Linked DNA regions of Tribolium castaneum. The protein of the gene in region 1 interacts with the protein of each later gene in a biochemical or structural test. Links are inferred from orthologs where the notes say so. Each region holds a gene or a part of one and is shown in the gene's direction. Other genes may lie near its edges. The genes, in order: serine/threonine-protein kinase VRK1 and baf.

Region 1 (3,905 bases):
GATCAACTTGCTGATCTGCTTGTCTTTCAACCCGACCACATTTTGCCCCTCAACTTCCAGCAGCTGGTGATCGGTCAAAACCCCATTTCGCGCCGCCGACGAATCCTTAATAATCGTGGTAATTTTCCCGTTCTTGAACTGAAAACCGACAGTTCCCGCACTGTCTTTATGCAAAGTTAGGGTGCGTTCAAAGGGCCTGTCCCTCACAACGACGTTAATCCCATTAACTGGGCTTTTCTTGAACATCTCATGGACCTTATCCATTGTAAAGCCGGCCACTGTGGCCCCGTTTATTTGCAAGATCTGGTCCCCAAACCGGAGCCCCGCGAGCGCCGCCGGCGAGTTATCAACAACCAGACAGACGAAAACCCCGTTGTTGATCGCTTTGACCCGCAGCCCCACTTTGCCGTCCTTGTCTTTGCAGAGGGTGAGCTGGCGCACGCCGTTGGTGACTTGCGCGCGGTGCAGCCCCAAAGACTGGCCCGACAGGGGGGCGATCATGCTGGTGGCCCCCACGGCGATCGGCGCCGACTGCAAAACACGGTCAGGGGGGTGGGGCTAAGGGGGGCACTCACCGATTGGGGCACCGCCACTTGCAGGTACTCTGGCATGTTCTCCTTGATCACGGCTTCGGTCAGCTCGAGCCCCATGAAGTCTCCCAGCGCCGGGTAAGCGCTGACCTGGGGGGCTGTCGCGGGGCTCTGGCCACTCAAAGCCCGCGACAGTTGGTCGATTTTCATGTCTTCGAGACTAGGGTACAGCGACATTTTCGCACAATTAATCACGAGTTCTAGAATTGAAACTTGATATCTGTTATCAGTGAATGACACAATTGACAATTGGGGGGTTATTTATAGTGACAGGGGCACTGACAATACATACCTGTACTGGTTTCTGGTAAAGTTAAGTTCAATTAACTGTTTTTCACACACTTGAGTGGTTTATTTATCATTGATGATTCATCACAGCTCAAAAAACTGTTCTAACACGAGTCAATTGTTGATTGTCAGTTTGACATTTCCGGAATGGTGTTTTGTTCAATTGGGCGACATCTGGCGGTCGCGACGATTTATAGTGATAAGACAATAATGATCAAATGCAACAAACGCATTCAAAGTCGAATTTATTCCCAATTATTGCGTTCTAATTGAATATTTTATTGACACTTAGGCAGCCAACAACGCCCGGCCTTTAGGGAATTTAGCCGTGGCGCTATTAAGTTGGTGCCTTCGTCCGCCATACCACCGTTTTTTTTTCGCGCGTTTTTCGTTATCTCTTCATAATTCGTTATCTCGGATTTAAAACCGCGTTTTTGTTGTTTAGTTTCGCTCTAAAGGAAGTGCAAAAAGTGTTGCGTGTGTGCGTGGCTCGTGTCGCTTCGTTTTTTGGCGTTTGATTCTAACCTCAAAATGTCGAAACCGGTGAAAAAACCTCGCAAAAAAGCAACAACCGGCTATAAAATGCCGGAGCCGCTGCCTGCAGGGGAAGTCCTGGTTGATGTGGGGAAGAACCAGTGGAGGTTGGGGCCGTCCATCGGCAAAGGGGGCTTTGGGGAGATTTACGCAGCTCAGGAGGCCTCCTCCAAGTCCCCCAAATACCCCTACGTTGTGAAGGTGGAGCCTCACGGCAACGGCCCCCTTTTCGTCGAGATGCACTTCTACATGAAAAACGCCAAACAGGCCGACAGTAAGTGTTTTCCCCCTTTTTTATATTTTTTGTGTTATTTGGGGTTGTAGTTGAGGCTTTTATGAAAAAGCACAAATTGAAAACGTTCGGAATGCCGGCGTATTTGGGGTCAGGGTCGCACGAAATGGGGGCTTCCAAATACCGGTTTATTGTCATGGAGAAATTCGGGGCTGATATTGACCAACTGAGGCGGGACAAGGGGGCCCTTTCGAGCACGTCCGTTTTTCAAATGGGGTGGCAAATTGTACGTTTTCACTTTTCGTAACAGGGTGGTAACAGTTATTCGTAGACCTACGTTCTGGAATATATTCATGACTTTGGGTACATCCATGGGGACATAAAAGGGGGCAATGTCCTTCTGGGGGTCAATAAAAGCCAGGTCTACCTCGTGGATTTTGGTCTCGCGACCAAGTTTAGCACAGAGCGGGAGTTTAAACCGAACCCCAAAAAAGCCCACGATGGCACCATTGAGTACACCAGCCGGGACGCCCATCATGGGGGTAACTATTTTTTCGCGTAGCTCCAATCTTATTTTCTTGCTAGTGCCCACCAGACGTGGCGATTTCGAAATTCTGGGCTTTAATTTAATTCATTGGTTGGGGGGCACCCTCCCCTGGGACTCGCACTTAAGCGACCCCAAAACCGTCCAACAGTTGAAGGAAGACAATTTAAAAGACGTCCCAAAGTTTATTAAAACGTGCCTGGGCAAGAAATCCGGTTAGTGTGTAATTGTGTTGTTTGGTTTGTTTTGTTTTATGTTTTTTTAGAAACTTTAATCAAATATTTCCAATACGTTAATAGTTTAAAGTTTGATGAGGTGCCTGATTATAAGAAAATTCGGTCGTTGTTTGAGGACGAAATTCGCAAGAATGGCAAAACTGTGGACAGTCCTTTTGACTTCCTTGGGACAGTGAAAAAAAGAAGAAGTTTATGTGGGGATAGATTGGATGATGGAGATGATGAAAATGTCACACCTGTGAAGAAACTGGCGAAAAAAAAGGAGAAGAAACAGAAGGAAGTGATAGAAAATAAGACTGAAGAGGTGATGACACCCGCCATGAAAGAAATCTTAGCCAAGAAGGAGAAAAATGCGCTCAAAAAAAAGAAAACCAAAACTAGTGATGATAAAAATGGTGAGGTTGACAACGCCGGAATGATGGAAATAAGAAAGAAAAAAGACAAAGCTAGTGAAGAGACAAATGGTCATCTTGGGGCACGAAAGAAGAAAACGAAAGCCAGTAGTGATGATAGCGATGGCGAAGTATACAATGCCGAAATGCTCGAAATAAAACAGAAGATTAACAAAGGAAGAAGTGAAGAAGTGAGAGAGAACGGAAGACCTAGGCGCCATCTCCCGGCTTGTAATTACGACGAGCGAACTCCCAGACAACCGAGGAAGAAGACTTAGTACCTTTACTGTTTTTTACGAATTAATAAAAATAAAGATTTTAAAAGTAAACTTTGGTCCATTATTTGTAACCATAATCATTTTTTTAATATCGTATACAATTTTATTTAACCTCATGGAAATTGCAATGTGACATGACCAATCAGAGTGCGGTAGCACGACCACGTGACGACTGGTGACCAACGGGAAGCACTTATTTGAGCATTTGACAGCAGTCTAACATTTTGAAAAAACACTTATTTTTTGTTATCAAATAGCGAATACTCATTGTTATTCACTTACGAAATGATTTTCAAGTCGTGCAAAAAACTTATGAATAAAACGTCTGTTCTTCAGAGAATGCAAAAAATCGTCCACGTCCTTGCAAACATCAAACAAAGTGGTTATTAGATATTGAAGAATTGGCTTCATAATTACCCTCCTCAAGCTATAATTATTACCGTTGCACTTTCCTTTGACTCGAAATTAAAAAGTTTTAATAGCACATAGCCTGTTTTCAAGAATGATTGTTCAAGACGACTATGGACACACTGTGGATTAAAATTCAATAAGCTGCTTTGTCGAATTGAATAGCTTTTTGCTTATTTTTTGCATTTCCGTGATTTCTGTTGTGTATTTTTCGTTTTTAGTTCGAAGACTTTTTGCATTATTTTGACAGATCTGTCACCGTCACATTTCATAAAAAAATTGACGAACAATCATTTCTGAACAGTGTGTATATTTAATCAGTAAAGCACAGCATTCAAATAGTTGTTTTTTCCGATCCCACTTCCAGAAATCGACCAAATCTTCTCTCTAATTTACTAAAATT
Region 2 (2,515 bases), on another chromosome or scaffold:
AAAAAATTGATTTTACAGTAAATCCGTTTTTTAAACGAGTAGGCCGATGTGTCAGCGACCATCGACCGTCTTCTGTTTAATAAAAACGCTCAAAACTCAAAATGCGTTATTCGTTATTAAATTTTTAGGCGCTGCACGATTGAGCGTATTCAGCGTATTACGTGCGTGCTTACCCTTAAAAAATAAACTTAATTTGGACATAATAATTGTTCTGTACACTAGTGCGTAGCATGCAAAACGAATTTCATTTTTTTAATTAATAAGAAAATTAGCATAGACAATATAATGTATTCAATCCGAAAACGACTGAAAATCCATTATAGACGTTTTGGTAAGATATTCGCGTTCAATCCTTCTCTGTATCGTTCCAATTTTAGTATATGTACCGCCGAAGCGAGTAATAGACTTAATCCTTACAAAGAATCTCTTATTGGAAAACGACCCTCAGTCTCTTTCACAACTAAGTTCCGACCATAATCCGGTAATTTTCGAAATTTGAATAATTAATTATAATTATAATTATAATTATTAATTATAAATTATTCAAGTAATTGTTGGTACTAATCAGTATTGCCAACTCATTCCCCTAAATTTTTACTACGTGTTTACTATGATAGTAAAATCTATTACGTACCCTTAAAATTGTTGTATTATTATTATTACAAAGTGTGTTATAAGTGTTTAATTACATTACTAGAACAAAGAAAATGAACCCTGTTGCGTTTAAAACAATTTCCAGTACAAATATGGTAAAATTCAGTCCATCTTAAATTTGATCACAATTTTGATGGTCGAAGCTGTTTTATATTTTTTATATTAAAAACCATTAGAAATGAGTTAAATAACGACACTGATTCATATTTTCAAAAAAACCTTTATTGTTTCAGCCATAAAAATATTTTTATCGTTACAGCAAATGTAACTAATATCATTCAATAATATGCACGTCCAAGGTCAACAAGCCTCACAGCGCGCGGGAAAAGAGTGTCAGATCTGGTGCTAACTTCTCTAATCTGTGATCCTGCCAACAAAAAATTATCGACTGTGCGTTGAACCGAAAATTCGCTTAAAAATCAACGAATAAATTTAAAAAATTAGCAGAATTTCAATAACTATTCAAAGATTTAATTGTTTGTGGTTTTCTCATTAATTAATTATTAGTAAACAATTAATAAGTGCTTTTTCGAGATGATGATCCGTCCGAATTTTTGATTCGGTGGCAAAGCTCCCGCCAACGCGTTCTGTCATTTAGTACGTCCTTTTGCTAGTCAAAAGTTTATTTCTTTATTAAAAAAATGTCGAGTACATCCCAAAAACATCGCAATTTTATTGCTGAGCCCATGGGGGACAAGCCCGTGACTGAATTAGCAGGTGTGGGTGAAGTTTTAGGTAAACGTCTTTCGTCTGCCGGATTTGACAAGGTGAGGTTATGTTTTTACATTGCGCTTTTTTGCATAACATTTTCCTGTTTTAGGCGTATGTGGTGTTGGGCCAGTTTTTGATATTGAAGAAAAACCAAGAGCTTTTCCAAGAATGGATGAAAGACACTTGCCAGGCGAATTCAAAACAATCGGCTGATTGTTGGCAGTGTTTGAAAGACTGGTGTGAGGAGTTTTTGTAAAGTGGCTTGTATAGTTTGATGCTAAACACGTTTTATTAAAATAAGATAATACTTTACTAATGTAAATATTTTTATAAGTGAAATAATTTAGTTTAGCACAAAAATTATATTAAAAACGGCTCAAGTCTTTTATTACTCCCTTACACGAATAATTAATTACAAAATTATTGCTTTGCGTTTACAATGTTCACGAATTCGGGTTTGAGGGACGCACCCCCTACTAAAAATCCGTCAATATCAGGTTGGGCAGCCAATTCTTTGCAGTTGGCCCCAGTTACGGAGCCCCCGTATTGAATTCTGATACTATTTCCAACGTCCGCGTTAACGTTTGTGCAAAACCATTGTCTCAAAGCCTTGTGCACTTCTTGTGCTTGCTGAGGAGTGGCAGTTTTTCCCGTACCTATGGCCCACACCGGCTCATAAGCAACGACAACATTTGACCTAAAAAAATTCATTACGAACTGGGCTTTTCCCCACAATATGAATCACCAGTCTTTTATTTTCCCAGCAATAGCCTTAGTCTGTCTGAAGACAACCTCCTCAGTCTTGCCCCCTTCCCGTTCCTCCAAAGTCTCCCCAATGCAGGCGATAACTTTCAGGCCAGCCTCCAAGGCATGAGCCACTTTTTCGGCGATAAGTTCGTCAGTTTCGCCAAAAATCTGGCGACGCTCTGAGTGCCCCAGAATCACCCAATTCACGCCAATGTCTTTGATCATCGCGGGGGAAATCTCGCCGGTGAAGGCGCCTTTAGGAACTTTATAGCAGTTTTGGGCGGCCACTTCAATACTTTGGGGTAGGTTTGTTCGCACATGTTCCAAGTAAATTGCGGGGACTCCCACGATGACTTCGGTGTTGGGGTTCAAGGGGCCGGTTTTTAGGGTGTTGATGATTTCG

What was found.
Region 2: of the proteins of serine/threonine-protein kinase VRK1 (region 1) and baf, one has a biochemical effect on the other in vitro, tested with the Caenorhabditis elegans proteins (2 studies listed by BioGRID). The link is inferred for Tribolium castaneum from reciprocal best matches to the Caenorhabditis elegans genes vrk-1 and baf-1.

What each region holds. Positions count from the first base shown.
Region 1 is NC_087395.1:23,675,460-23,679,364, forward strand, and holds serine/threonine-protein kinase VRK1, read left to right. Parts: upstream 1-1,249; 5' UTR 1,250-1,409; coding exon 1,410-1,686; intron 1,687-1,736; coding exon 1,737-1,930; intron 1,931-1,975; coding exon 1,976-2,186; intron 2,187-2,229; coding exon 2,230-2,403; intron 2,404-2,453; coding exon 2,454-3,094; 3' UTR 3,095-3,145; downstream 3,146-3,905. Other genes in the region: syntenin-1, read right to left, coding at 1-531, 576-767. UniProt on the Caenorhabditis elegans protein: Serine/threonine kinase that phosphorylates baf-1, thus regulating the association of baf-1 with chromatin and nuclear membrane proteins during nuclear envelope formation. May act through the egl-17 signaling pathway.
Region 2 is NC_087402.1:5,990,966-5,993,480, forward strand, and holds baf (barrier-to-autointegration factor), read left to right. Parts: upstream 1-1,206; 5' UTR 1,207-1,295; coding exon 1,296-1,421; intron 1,422-1,474; coding exon 1,475-1,621; 3' UTR 1,622-1,740; downstream 1,741-2,515. Other genes in the region: Tpi (triosephosphate isomerase), read right to left, coding at 1,786-2,062, 2,111-2,515. UniProt on the Caenorhabditis elegans protein: DNA-binding protein which plays an essential role in nuclear envelope formation. Required for normal chromosome segregation during mitosis. Associates with the nuclear lamina via its interaction with LEM domain containing proteins emr-1 and lem-2.